2 linked regions of the Stegostoma tigrinum genome follow. Each later gene encodes a partner of the first gene's protein in a complex. Links are inferred from orthologs where the notes say so. Each region holds a gene or a part of one and is shown on either strand. Other genes may lie near its edges.

Region 1 (7,803 bases):
TATAGGGACAACCTAGCTTTTGGGCATTAGTAATTTCCAAACAGAACATTATTTATTATTCACATAGCCAACATGTTGCAATAGCCTATATTTAAATTTAAGGAACTTACTACATTTTAACTGGGGCATTAACAATGAAGTGTGTGTTCTGGTACTTGACCATCCCCTGATAGCCAATTTCAAATTGTATGTGATATTATAAAAGCAATGTAAAGTGTGTCCTTGTATTGATTATTCACATCATTTCTCCAGATAACAAATGCTGCATTTATTCAAATTATCCTTACTAATAGAAACAGTTCTGAAGGGTCACTTGTCTCAAAACATCAACTCTGCTTTCTCTATTTATGCTTCCAGACCTACTGAGTTTCTCCAGTAATTTGTTTTTGTTTCAGATTTCCAGCATCCATTCATTGTTTTAACTTCAAATGGCAAAATTCTGTCAAGAAAAGTACTTCATTTTATAGTAACTAGTGAACAACTAAGCAGTGAGAATTTCTTTTTAATTCGGAAAATTTATTATCTATCAGATGTTATCATAAGGCATAAAAATATAGTTCACAATCTAGTAGAGTCAACCGCGCAAAATCTGTGATTACAGATGCTTGTCTAATTCACGCTCACCGCCTCTTTAATAATCCTAGTAATGACTGCATTTGGTAGATTCAAGTCTTCCGGTCTCTCAGCCATCTTTCTCACATAAACTACAAATACACAAACAATTCAGTTAGATGTGTTAAAGTCCAGGGCAGCTGAGACATTCCTCAACTCCAAAACTACCATAAAACTACCGGCCAAGATGTAATACCTTGGACAAAGGTCTCAGGAATATGGAAACCTTTGGATGCAAGGTAACATAAGCAATACATGTTTAGCAGTTTGGGCATAGAACATAGAACAGTACAGCACAGAACAGGCCCTTCAGCCCACAATGTTGTGCCGACCATTGATCCTCATGTATGCACCCTCAAATTTCTGTGACCATATACATGTCCAGCAGTCTCTTAAATGACCCCAATGACCTTGCTTCCACAACTGCTGCTGGCAACGCATTCCATGCTCTCACAACTCTCTGCGTAAAGAACCTGCCTCTGACATCCCCTCTATACTTTCCACCAACCAGCTTAAAACTATGACCCCTCGTGCTAGCCATTTCTGCCCTGGGAAATAGTCTCTGGCTATCAACTCTATCTATGCCTCTCATTACCTTGTATACCTCAATTAGGTCCGCTCTCCTCCTCCTTTTCTCCAATGAAAAGAGACCGAGCTCAGTCAACCTCTCTTCATAAGATAAGCCCTCCAGTCCAGACAGCATCCTGGTAAACCTCCTCTGAACCCTCTCCATTGACATCCCCACATCACCAGATGGTCTCAGGTATAAGTTTACCACATATCACTGAGGATACACTTAATACAGAGAATTCCAGACTGGGATGGTTCTACTGCATGAAAATGCCATATTCAGAAGGATTTTGCAGTGGGGATACTGCACTGGGATAAATTTATCATGGGTGTGCCTCTGTACTGGGGTTTTTTCACTATGGGTCAGATCTGTTACAAATTTGAAACACTGGATGCTGTACACATGGGGCAGGGTATCAAAGGGCTGCCAACGTACTTGTACAGTTGTCTTTTGCAAATCCAAAAATCATTTGGGAGATGGGAATTTTAAAAAACACAAAAATACAAAAGAATTCAGCTAAATTATTTAAAGGACAATTAAATATACACTAGCAGCTAGTTTTGAATTGTCAAAATAATTGTGACATATGACTCAAAAAATGTTAAAAAGAAAAACACTTTTTGCTGTCTGCTTACAACCAATGTTCTACTGTATACACTGAAACAGGCCTCTACTTCAGCACCTTTACTGCAGTATGCACGGCGCACTGAAGATTGTCTTAATGAACCATTAAACTGAGGACCCATCTGCCTGCGCACACAGGCACAAGATCCCTGACACTGTTCACAGAAGAGCGGAGAGACACAGTTAACTTTCCTCAGCAAACATCACTGAGAAAAAATTAACTGCTTCCATTGCTTTTTGTCAGTTCCAAATTAGTTGTTGACCTATACATACTTCAAAAATAACTGATGCACTGAGAAATACATTGGGATAGCCCAAGGAAGTGAAAGGATAACAAAAGTATAAACACTGCTCAATCTAAGTTGAGACACCTAACATGCATGTCTCTTCATCCACTTTTCAATCTAACGATCAATATTGATTTAGATTTTATCTAAGCCACCAACTCTGAAAGTGAATTCCATGTGACCACATTATACAAGATGTTTCTTCTGATCTATTGTTTATATTATTTAATTCACATGAATCTCCATGCTCACTCAAAGCCTCAACAGTAGTTACAATTCATGCAGCCCAACACTGTATAGGAACTTTACATTGGATCTTCATTAACCTTGGTAGTGATTCTACATTGAAAAGCTGGCCCAAACAAAAACAAGGCAGATATTTATTTAACAGTCTACACAATCTCCAAAAATTCCATGGGACTTTTCAGACAAAGAAGTGCAACCATCACAGCAAACTCCCACAAACACCAACGGGATAAATAACCAAAGATGCTGGTACAGAGATACATATTGAATAGGACATCAAGGATAGACCCTATTTTCTGTACTGGAAAACTGTGGCATTGAACATGACAGATGAAAGACGCCGTAATCCAAATTTGCCCCTCCGAAAATGCGTCACTGTCTCTCTGGGCTGCTAAACAACCGTACAATGGCCATCTAGTGTTACCGCGCTCCCTCAGCACTGACCCTCCGACAGTGCCCGCTCCCTCAGCACTGACCCTCCGACAGTGCCCGCTCCCTCAGCACTGACCCTCCGGCAGTGCCCGCTCCCTCAGCACTGACCCTCCGGCAATGCCCGCTCCCTCAGGTGGTCAGTTGCCCGGCTCTGCAGACGGCCTAGCCCCGTGCCCTGCCTGAACTGAACCGTCCACAGCCCGCCGCCATGACACTGAGCACCTCATTAGAATAACGGCCACCCACACTCTCACCCCGTCCCTCGCGCGCTCTCACCCGCCAGCAAAAGACGTCCGCAGCCTCCCGCAACCTTTCACCCCTGACCCCCTCCGGAACGCCTGATTGGACGGCTGCTGTGGCGCGTGAGCTCTACCCGCGTCATCTTCCCGCGCTTGGTTACCGAAGGCTGCGGCCTCCAGCCAGAGGCGCCGCCTAAAGGCGCTGGAGAGGAGTTTCACCGCTGCGTGAGTAGTAAGGAAAGTGGTCCAAATTACAAGTGTTATCTCCCAAACTAGTATACCCGGCACTAAGACACTGATCGCTCAAAACTAGCACTGCTGGGTAGGACGTATTCATATTGTCATGACCACGGGTCCCAACCTAAAGTACTGTTAATATTTTTAGCTCATAATTCCGAAGTGGATTTTAAAAGAGAGGCAATCCATAGGGCCATAAGTAGCTGCAGATGTAAATTAATTGACTGACTGGAGAGAAGGATAGCCATGGAATGTCGCACTTAAAGGTGGAAAGGGAACCTTAACCTTTTTCACATACATACAAGAATACACAAAGACAGGGATGTAAAAAGCCTGTTCACTCTGCCAGCATGTGCTCCAGAGGACCTAGGTTCTCGTGTGCCAGTGGGCTGACGTTCCCCTGTGTACGAAGCTCGAATTGAATGTCGGTGCTTTGCAATCATGGATAATGGGAACTGCAGATGCTGGAGAATCCAAGATAATAAAGTGTGAGGCTGGATGAACACAGCAGGCCAAGCAGCATCTCAGGAGCACAAAAGCTGACGTTTCGGGCCTAGACCCTTCATCAGAAAAGGGGGAGGGGGAGAGGATTCTGAAATAAATAGGGAGAGAGGGGGAGGCAATAGGTCAGTCCTGGGAGGACGGACAGGTCAAGGAGGCGGGATGAGATGGTACGTAGGAAATGGAGGTGCGGCTTGAGGTGGGAGGAAGGGATGGGTGAGAGGAAGAACAGGTTAGGGAGGCAGAGACAGGCTGGGCTGGTTTTGGGATGCAGTGGGGGGAGTGGAGATTTTGAAGCTTGTGAATGTTGCAGAAACAGCAACTCATATTCCGCTTGGGAACCCTGCAGCCCAATGGTATCAATGTGGACTTCACAAGCTTCAAAATCTCTCCTTCGCCCACTGCATCCCAAAACCAGCCCAGCCTGTCTCTGCCTCCCTAACCTGTTCTTCCTCTCACCTATCCCTTCCTCCCATCTCAAGCCACATCTCCATTTCTTACCTACTAACCTCATCCCACCTCCTTAACCTGTCCGTCCTCCCCAGACTGACCTATCCCGTCCCCACCTATGCTCTTCTCTCCACCTATCTTCTCCCCTCTCCATCTTCGGTCCGTCTCCCCATCTCTCCCTATTTATTTCAGAACCCTCTCCCCATCCCCCTCTCTGACAAAGGATCTAGGCCCGAAACGTCAGATTTTGTGCTCCTGAGATGCTGCTGGGCCTGCTGTGTTCATCCAGCTCCACACTTTGTTATCTTGCTTTGCAATCATTGTCTAGTTTAATCATTGCAGGTAAAGGGAACCTCTTAATCTGAGTGCTCATTACCAGTAGCTGGGTAGCCAGAGAAAAGTTTGAAAAGACAACAGAAGGACTATATCACCCTGAATGCCGTCATTCATCCACAATCAAAAGGAATCAGAAATACAGGATTTTAATCAACATGCAAATGTAAGACTTGAAACCAACTCTTCAACTTCCAGTGTCAGTGTTGCCAATAAACCCCACTGTCACAGCCATATTATTCAACGTTTTGGGAACAATTAGGAGACAGATCTGAATACAGTAAACTTATTAAGCAGAACCCATGGGACCAGGAGTATGCAGATTAATCAAATATTCTGGTTGATCAAGAGGTTCATCTAATCAATGTAAAAACACACACTTAGTGATTGAAATGTAATGTCGGGTGTCAATGCCCATTATGTGTCTACTCAGGCATTGTGAGGATCACGATAATACAGTTAATTTCAGTTATGTAATTTTTGCCGTTTTATCAAGTGTTGGTTTGTAGGATGCTAGTTAGTACAAAGTTTGCTGTATCTGCTTTTAAAAAATTTTATCTTTTAGATCTCACTTTTTTTCTAACCTGTGTGCTGTTACAAATTCTTGCTTTGAAAACGCAGGTTCATTTGGATCTGGGAGAAAGGCATCTACAAGAGAGAAGATTTGCTTTTAAATTAAACATGTTGAGACCAACATGGCTTGGGTGAATAAAAAAGGAAAAGGCAGTTAATTTTCCCCTGTCTGCTTCTACTTCACCTACGGGCTTAACAAATTGTACAAACTGTCTGGAACCATAACAAGTTGGGGGATCTTGCCAAGGATCCAAGCATAAGAATATGTCGAACACCATTCTTCTGAAATTTCTTTTCTAATTGGAACTCAGTCCTTGGTGTAGAAAATTTGAGAGGATACCTCATTGACAAGGGAATAGTGGTCAGAAATACATTAATATTAATTGTCATAGTGATGGGATCTTTTATTTCCAAATGAAAAGAATGTAGATGTGAGTTTGCTCGCTGAGCTGGAAGGTTAGTTTTCAGACGTTTCGTCACTTTTTTTTAATTGATTTGAAAAAATATACTTTATTCATAGAACATACAAAAAATAAAACATTTATACACCTACCCAGTCATACAAGCTGCTCCGGGTTACCCAGGGGGTACGTGCACCAACTAAAAGGAAAAAACAAAACAAAGGAAAAAAAAAACTAAGCAAAGAAAATACCCCGGCAGTCGTCTCCCCGCACAGTCCCCGTTGGCCCCCTGACCAGTTGGGGAAGGCGCCAGCTGGACCCAGTTACCAGATAGGGCCCTTGTTTCTATTCTGGACGAGGGGTTTCATACGGTGGTCTTTCCCCACCGTGTCTTGCCAGCAGCTGCCCCAAGATTTAGCGCATCCCTCAGCACGTAGTCCTGGACCTTGGAGTGTGCCAGTCTGCAACGCTCGGTCGGGGTCAGTTCTTTCAGCTGGCAGACCAATAAGTTGCGGGCAGACCAAAGAGCATCTTTCACTGCATTGATGGTCCTCCAGGCGCAGTTGATGTTGGTCTCGGTGTGCGTCCCGGGAAACAGCCCGTAGAGCACGGAGTCCCGCGTCACGGAGCTGCTCGGGACGAACCTCGACAAATACCACTGCATCCCCCTCCAGACCTCCTGCACAGACAGTCTCGTCGCCCCCGCAGCCGCCTCAAGGGCAGTGTGCGGTGGTGCAGAGATTCCAGGCATGCATAAAAGATATCACTGGCAGACCCCCTCTCACTGCCAGCCAAGCAATGTCCTTGTGCTTGTTGGAAAGTTCTGGCGATGAGGCATTCTCCCAAACGACTTTGGCAGTCTGCGTGGGGAACCACATGACGGGATCCACCCTCTCCTTTTCCCGAAGGGTCTCAAGAATACTACGTGCTGACCACTGCCTGACAGCCTTGTGGTAAAGGTGTTTCCTTTCAAAAATTTCTCCACGAAGGACAGGTGGTACGGGATGATCCAACTACTCGGAGCGTTCCGCAGCAACGAGGCCAGGCCCATCCTTCGCAACATCGGGGACAGGTAGAACCTCAGTAAGTAGTGACACTTGGTGTTTGCGTACTGAGGATCTACGCACAGTTCGATGCAGCCGCACACAAAGGTAGCCATCAGGGCGAGGGTGGCATTCGGTAAGCCCTTTCCCCCATTTTCCAGGTCTTTGTACATGGTGTCCCTGTGGATCTGGTCCATCCTCGACCCCCAAATGAAGTGGAAGATGGCCCGGGTGACCGCAGCGGCGCAGGTCCAGGGAATAGGCCAGGCCTGCGCCACATACAACAGTACCGAAAGCCCCTCGCACCTGACAACCAGGTTCTTACCCGTGATGGAGAGGGACCGGAGCGTCCACCTTCCCAGCTTCTGCTTCAACTTGGTGATATGCTCCTCCCAGGTCTTAGTGCATGCCCCAGCTCCACCGAACCAAACACCCAGCACCTTCAGGTAGTCTGTCCTGACGGTGAAGGGGATGAAGGAGCGGTCGTCCCAGTTCCCGAAGAACATAGCCTCGCTCTTACCACTGTTGACTTTGGCACCTGAGGCCAGTTCAAACTGGCCACAGATGTCCAACAGCCTACTCACCGACCGACGATCGGTACAGAAGACGGCGACATCGTCCACGTACAGGGAGGTCTTGACCTGAAGGCCTCCGCTGCCCGGGATAGTCACACCCTTCAGGCTCACGTTCTTCCTGATGGATGCGGCGAAGGGCTTCACACAGCACACGAACAAGGCAGGAGAGAGCGGGCAGCCCTGCCTGACTCCATATCTGACGGGAAAAATGTCCAATTCCCACCCGTTGATCGAGACTGCACTAACAATGTTGGTGTAGAGCAGCCGGATCCAATTGCGGATCCCCTCCCCGAACCCCAATTTGGAGAGGACGTCCCTCATGTAAGCATGAGAGACCCTGTCAAAGGCCTTCTCCTGGTCCAGGCTGACGAGGCAGGTGTCCACCCGCCTGTCCTGTACGTAGGCAATCGTATCCCTGATGAGCGCAAGGCTCTCAGCGATCTTCCTGCCCGGCACAGCACAGGTTTGGTCAGGGTGAATCACCGAGTCCAGGACAGACCTGACCCGGTTGGCTATGACCTTGGCCAGGATTTTGTAGTCCACGTACAATAGTGAAATGGGATGCCAATTCTTAATTTCTTCCCTCTCCCCCTTCCTCTTGTAAATGAGGGTGAAGATGCCCTTCCTCACGGACTTGCACATTTCCACTGCCCGAAGCGCACTATCGTACACCTCCAGG
Region 2 (7,075 bases), on another chromosome or scaffold:
AGAAACAGAAACAAAAAAAAATGTATTTACATTGCACAATTACTGAGAGCTAAGCACGATATCGAAAATGCTTTATCTCAGCAGTGACAGAAAATACATCAAGCACAAGACTTTTTAAACTTCAATGGTACTTCCAGAAATATCTGGTCCATAAAATATGGTTATTTCTTGGCACATTAGTGAATTAACTTGCGACACCCTAAAAGGGTAATTTAGTTTCTTTGATGCGTCCATAGCTTACTCAACTAAGATTAAAATGATTTCCTTCTGAACATGAAATCTCAGCATTGTGGTGGCCTTCAATCAGCATACACTGATACATTGTGACAAGATGGCCATCCATGGAGAGAATTACAGGCACAAACTCATTTTTCCCTTCATTGTGGAGCAACATTAGATATAGAAAACAACATGCCCAGCAAACTACACAGTTTTTCTTGGCATGTGGTGTCTATTGTATTAGCTCGTGTGACAATCTACCTCCATGAACACAGGATATTCATAGTGATCAACTGACACCAAGTGGCAGGTATACAAATACGGCAATTTTTTGAAATATTTCTCAATTCTTTACACCAAAGCACGAACACCAAAAGGTAAGGCTAAATTTTACTTCCCCATCAGACTAGCCACATAAGTAAGAGAGGTCAAAGACAGAGGCCTGCAGAAGTAACTCACCTAACTTCCTATTTGCAGGGCACAAATCAGGAGTGTGAAAGAATACTTGTCACTTGTCCAGATAAGCACAGCTCCAACAAGTTGTTCAATATCATACTGGACAAAGGAACCCATCCACTGCTAATGCTCAGATGTAGCCATGTGCTTCGTATAAGAGATATATCAGAGCAACGAATCACACTGCGTTTGACTGAAACTTCCAAATGCACAGGGTGTAGCACCTAGAAGAGTGGCAGATTGGTAGCAAGACCATCAAGATTCCAAACCCTGTCCCCACTCTAAACCAACACTCCTTACTGTATAGGCGATAATAATAACTGCAGATACTGGAAGTGAGTCCATACAGCGTTGAGCTGGGGAAACACTGGTCATGCAGCAGAGAAACAGGAAAGTGGACCCTTCATCAGGACTCTAAGTCAAGATTGTCCAGCTCCACCATACTGTATCTTTAAAAGAAAAATATAGCAAGTGATCCAAATCCTGGAACTTCCTAATGGCACTGGCACGTACCTACACCATATGAACCCTTTGTGGTGTGAGAAATGTAAATGTTGGCTTTACCAGCAAGGTCCACACCATATTAACGAATTAGAATGCTCAGAAATAATTTCTGTAACCAATAATACTTCAAGAGCATCACAAAAACGAGCGGTGGTGTTCATTAACATTAGGCAAAAATTTATTGCTTGGAAATATGTGGCGACTTTCATGTATTCCAGCATTGGGTAATTCAGTTATTCCCAGTTTGTAATGCGTTCCATTAAGTGCCTGCCTTGTAATCGTTTCAGTCACCTCGCTCTTGGAGTGCTTTTCCATTACACTTGAGGTAACTGCAATCCGCACGTTATACAGGGTTTCGAAAAGTTAAAGCAAGAAGATAACCACGAATTAATTCGTCATTCGACTAATAAAAAGTGTGAAGATATCTTCAAGTTCCGTACGCCTGTGATGCTTATAATTAAACAGGCTCGGTTTCTCCAAACCAGGCCCATCACTGACTCCGTGTACAAAAGAGACAATGTTCGGATAAGCATCAAAACAGCCCACGCTCTCCACACGTCGCGCACGAAACTCAAGTCTTATCCTCGCTGCGGAGATGCTCATTAAAAATCAAACCCAGACAGAGAAAACAAAAGCGAGGAAATAATAGAGGCGACATCCTCCGGACACCCCCAAAAACAGTTTATACAAATGACGTAAACGGGAACATCTCGGATCGAGCATGTGTGCGAGGAAAAAAAATACCAGCCGCCGGGGGTGTCTAAATAAATTTAGATTATCCAGCAGCACAAGGCCTACTCCAGTCCGCATTCGGCACGAGTTAGTTATTAGTTATTTGACAGCCCGCCACACGGGCACAAGGGAGAGAGGGAGAAACAGACTGTGTGGACAGCAGTGGAAGGCAACCAAAGTCCTCCTTCCATCCCCCACGCCCGCCGCCAAAGCCCGGGAGACAAACCCGGAGCCGTTAACGTTGCTTTCGAATCATAATTTGCCGATTTGAACGAAAATGAGGTAGTGCGCCCTTGTGCCGCTTCGGCGGCAGAGGAAATTCAGCGGACCCACTCCCAAAGCCCCGTCGCCAAACACCAACTCACTCGTAATTCCTGAAGATCTCGATGGTCATCCGACAGTAGAAAACTTCTTCGTCCGGCTTCAGGTCGGCCGGGGGTTTTTGTCTGACGAACGGTTTGCGATGGAGAAGCGGCATCCCCTTCCTCGGGCAGGCACAGCGCTGGCGGAGAGGGGTTCAAGAGACGCCAAGCAGCACCAGAGGAATCAAAGAGAAAGAGAAACACACACTCTTAATAATTACAAAGTACATGGAGTAGCTGCGGGCGGTCAAATCCAACACCGGCACGACAACGACTTCGCCGACAAACTTCAAACGCGTCCCCGGGATCCACGGCGGAAGCCCATCATTTACCGTTACTGTCGACCAGGGAAGCACGAGTCAACCGCGGCCCACAGTGTGCTCGAGAGCCGCTCTCTCTTTTACCGATAATATGTTGCCCAACCACCCCGTTTGCCCGCTTCCCCTCGCCACCCGCCCGCGTCCCAAACGCGGAACCACCCGCTCAAGTCACAGGGAAAGCCTTACCTGGTGTGTGTACGTATGCTGATAGGAAGTGGCCGGTAAATATTTGTCGGCTTTTTAAGTCTCTCTTTCCCCTCCTCCCTGAGCTTGAAGGCTGTGTTCCGGGGAGTCCGATCAGCCACTACTACCGGCTCCGTCCAGCGCCGCTTCCACTTCCTCTCGCCAGCCGCGGCTTCTCCCTCCGTCTGCTTCCCCTCTGCCGCTGCGCCTGCGTCCCACTCGAAACGGCACGTTCTTCACGTCACAAGAGGTGGAACTCCACACCCAGCCACTCCACCCATTGGCACCCCCTTACCCGATACCTTCCTCCCATTGGCCCATCTCGCCCGACATCCACTCACCTATTGGCTCATCCTACCACGTATCCGCCCTTCCATTGGCTCATTTCGACACATTTCTATCCACCCATTGGCCTTGGTCCCTACATCACAATCACTATTGGTTGTCCCCTCCGACGCCAAAGCCTCGCTTCTCATTGAATCAGGCTAAATATTGTCACCAAAAACAGAACATACTCCTCCGTTTCCCATATGCTCCTTTCCACAACGCACACTTTCTCGGACTCTACCTAATGTTCCTTCTTTATCTCCCTGGTTCATTCTCTTTTTCGATAATACCTGCTGTCTCTCTCACGCATTCTGTTTCTGGCTCTGTTTTTCCGTTTCAAACTCTCTCTCAATTATGGAGTTTTTCCAATCATTTCGTTCTTGTTTTAGACTTCCAGCATCTGCAACGTTTCACTTTCGTACAGATTTGTTTTCCTTCAGACAGTATCATTTCTGTACCATTTGGTCATTTGTTTTGTCCTCTGCTTTTTTTCATGCTCTTTACAACTTTTCTTACTCCGAAACAAAAACCGTTCTGAGGAAGGGTCACTCGACCCGAAAGATCACCTCTGTTTCTCTGCACAGTTGCTGCCAGGCCTGCCGAACTTTTCCAGCAATTTCTGGTATTGTTTCTGATTTAAAGATCTTCAGTTCTTTCGGCTTACTTCGATCCCTGTCAACTTAGGGTCTTGTAGGTTGACGTCTTTGTATCGTTGATGTGGGTGTCCAGTTGCTTCACGCAGATAGCAAACTCGCCGAAAGTTTGTCTGTGCAAATGAAGTTCCATTCGTTTGGTTCAGGTGACCCAGCAATCTAAGAGGGGACACATGCTGAGGATCCTTGCATCTTGGTGTTGCTGTGTTTGGCATTGTCTTGGTAAGACATGCCCAAAATTTCTCTAAAATTGCAGGGAAGGAAGCTGTTCAATGGCTTTTCTTCGCTTGCACATATTTTCCATGCTTCATGACTGAAAAGCCAAGTGAGACTGTACTTCAAATTACTTTTCTCTTAGTTTCACAATTGCCTTCGCAGTTTATGACGACGATGGCCTTGGAAGTTTTGGTATTGACTCGGAAGGAAATCAAGACGTTGGTTGGTAATTGTTGATTCAGGGTAGGTGAAGCTGTTGCTAATCTCTAAAGTGAGGAAGTCAATATTGATGACGATGGACTCTATGCATGATTTTGACCTTCCTGATGCAGGTTATAATCCAACCCCTCTGCAGTGTCTGGGAGAGCCAATTTATAAGCTGTTGGAGCTAACTTCAGGATGGGATGCTAATGAGGCATCATCAACAAACAGCAATTCGTGAACTAGGATGTTATGCATTTTGGGATTGGCATGTAGGCTTATCAATTCAGACAATCTGCTCTGGCATGCAGATAGACATCCTCATTTGTATAGCGAAAGCGTACAATATGTAGCATGGAGGAAAACATACTAAAGAGAGTTGGTGTCAGGATGCAGTTCTGTTTCACCGTGCTGCTGATTTCAAAGCCAAACATTGCTCCACTGTAACTGACAAATGTGTGTACATTCTTGTGGAAAGAAATTAAGGAGTCCAAGAAATCAATCTTCTGCAGTTTAAGAATCTTCGTCTTTGTTGACTAAGTTGAAGGTCTTGATGAGTTGTGTGAAATCAGTTTAGAGTGATCTGCACTTTCGGAGCACTTATTCTGCAACTGCCCAAGACAGAAAATCGTGACACCACAGTGAGACTCAGTTTAGGTATGTGATGTCAGACTCTGCAATCTGGCCACAATAATGATCTTTGCCACAATATTTCACGAGGAGATGCCTTGGTAATTGGTGCAATCAAGACAATTCTTCTTGTTTTTGACCCAAACTATTTTGTATTAATGCATGTCTTGAGACAGAACTCTTTCTTTCCAGCAGAGACACATTACATAGAGGTCCTGCAGCAGTACTAGTTTTTCAAGTTGGATGACATAAGGTGGAATGAAATGACATCCTAGAGCTTTACTGCTGCCAAGAAAGTCAATGGTCCTGTTGAACTCTTCGATGGTGAGTTTGCTGTCCAGCATCTCTGACAGAAAAATCTGGAATAGTGCTGAGAGCTTTTATACAATACACAACATTGTCACTGCAAGAGTTTGAGATAGTGCTTCACCTACCTTTCTACATGCTTGCCAAGTTCAATGATGATCTGCCTGTCTTTGTGTTCACGGAAGTTGATTTGTTGTTCCTGGCTCTGTTGCTTTCTTGATTCATTCACGTCTCCAGTGTCTCCAGATCCAGTAGCACATTTTACACTTGTGCAGAGTTTCAGAGTATTAATTAGCACAGTGCCAAAATCCTGCTCAGACTTGATTTTGGCTGCTCTCAGATCATTTAGATTTTGTCTCCGACTTGGTTGTCGTTCATGAGGGCTATTTTCTTGGTTGCAGTAACTGGTGCTTTCAATTCAATTAGTCAGCATTTCTCTGATCTATTTTCCCATATGCAGTGAGTGCAGAGTTATAAACGGTGTTGGACAGATAATCCTACTTTGACCCTTGGACATTGTTGTCTGAAAGAGCCTGATAAATGGTATTGATCAGCTTGTGGGTCTTGAATGTATCAGCGATACACAAGATTTCATTTGAAGACAACGTTTCTGTCTGGTATGGTAAAGTTTCCTTGGCTTTTGTCTCTATGATCTTGCTACATGCCACAGTTGTCAGGGTTAGATTCAGCACTTGATAGTTAGAAATGATCATGAAGCTGTTGTGGATGTTAGGTCTGGTATTGATGAGATCTGACTGGTGTGAGTGGCACATTTTCAGACATCCCCAGAACAACTTGCGGAAAACTTTGGTCTGCCAATTCCCTGGTGCCCTAGCTCAGTTGGCTAGATGGCCAGTTTCCCTTCATAGTTTAGTGCACTGTAGAATGATTCAATTGCACTTGAGATGGGACAGAACAGATACACCACATGTTGCCTGGGTTGGATCATCTTAGCTGTGAAGAGATGTTGGATAAGCTTGGGTTGTTTGGAGCAGAGAAGCTTCAAAAGGAACATGACTGAGATGAATAAGATCACGGGGATATGGACAGGTTAGATAGAAAAGTTGCTTCCCCACTCAGAAGGTGATCTAGGTCTAAAATGCACTGCCAAGGAGGGTAATTGAGGCATCTAACTTCAAAACCTCTGTGCAGAGAAAGCAGAGTCAATATATTGAGACTAGTGACCCTTCGACCTGTTGAGATTCTCCTGCAATTTCTGTTCTTGTTTCAGCTTTCCAGCAACTGCAGTTCTTGGTTTTATTTTAGTGATACACAGCGAGTTTTGAGAAGATTTGTAGCTCAGGTTGAGGTTCTGGATGTGAGTTTGCTCACTGAGCTGGAAGGTTTGTTTTCAGACGTTTCGTCACCATTCTAGGTAACATCATCAGTGAGCCTCTGGTGAAGCGCTGGTGTTATGTCCCGCTTTCTATTTATCTGTTTAGGTTTCCTTTGGTTGGTGATGTCATTTCCTGTTCTTTTTCTCAGAGGAAGGTAGATAGGCTCCAAATCAATGTGTTTGTTGATGGAGTTCCGCTTGGAATGCCATGCTTCTCGGGATTCTCGTGCGTGTCTCTGTTTGGCTTGTCCTGGGATGGATGTGTTGTCCCAATCAAAGTGGTGTCCTTCCTCATCTCTATGTAAGGATACTAGTGATAGTGGATCATGTCTTTTTGTGCCTAGTTGATGTTCGTGTATCCTGGTGGCTAGCTTTCTGCCTGTTTGTCACAGTTCTTGCAAGGTATTTTGTAAATGACGTTTGTTTTGCTTGTTGTCTGTATAGGGTCTTTTAAGTTCATTAGCTGCTGTTTTAGTGTGTTGGTGGGTTTGTGGGCTACCGTGATGCCAAGAGGTCTGAGTAGTCTGGCAGTCATTTCCAAAATGTCTTTGATGTAGGGGAGAGTGGTTATGGTTTCTGGGCACGTTTTGTCTGTTTGTTTGGGTTTGTTGCTGAGAAATCGGCGGACGG

What was found. Proteins that work in one complex are often made in the same cells at the same time.
Region 2: pole3 (region 1) and baz1a share a complex: the UniProt entries of both Homo sapiens proteins name them as parts of the CHRAC ISWI chromatin remodeling complex. The link is inferred for Stegostoma tigrinum from reciprocal best matches to the Homo sapiens genes POLE3 and BAZ1A.

What each region holds. Positions count from the first base shown.
Region 1 is NC_081382.1:5,786,647-5,794,449, forward strand, and holds the start of pole3 (DNA polymerase epsilon subunit 3), read right to left. Parts: upstream 3,104-7,803; 5' UTR 3,049-3,103; exon of another isoform or gene 3,027-3,048; intron 3,013-3,026; exon of another isoform or gene 2,817-3,012; intron 705-2,816; 5' UTR 691-704; coding exon 625-690; intron 1-624. UniProt on the Homo sapiens protein: Accessory component of the DNA polymerase epsilon complex. Participates in DNA repair and in chromosomal DNA replication.
Region 2 is NC_081363.1:58,510,818-58,517,892, reverse strand, and holds the start of baz1a (bromodomain adjacent to zinc finger domain protein 1A), read right to left. Parts: upstream 3,014-7,075; 5' UTR 2,780-3,013; intron 2,414-2,779; 5' UTR 2,390-2,413; coding exon 2,277-2,389; intron 1-2,276. UniProt on the Homo sapiens protein: Regulatory subunit of the ATP-dependent ACF-1 and ACF-5 ISWI chromatin remodeling complexes, which form ordered nucleosome arrays on chromatin and slide edge- and center-positioned histone octamers away from their original location on the DNA template to facilitate access to DNA during DNA-templated processes such as DNA replication, transcription, and repair.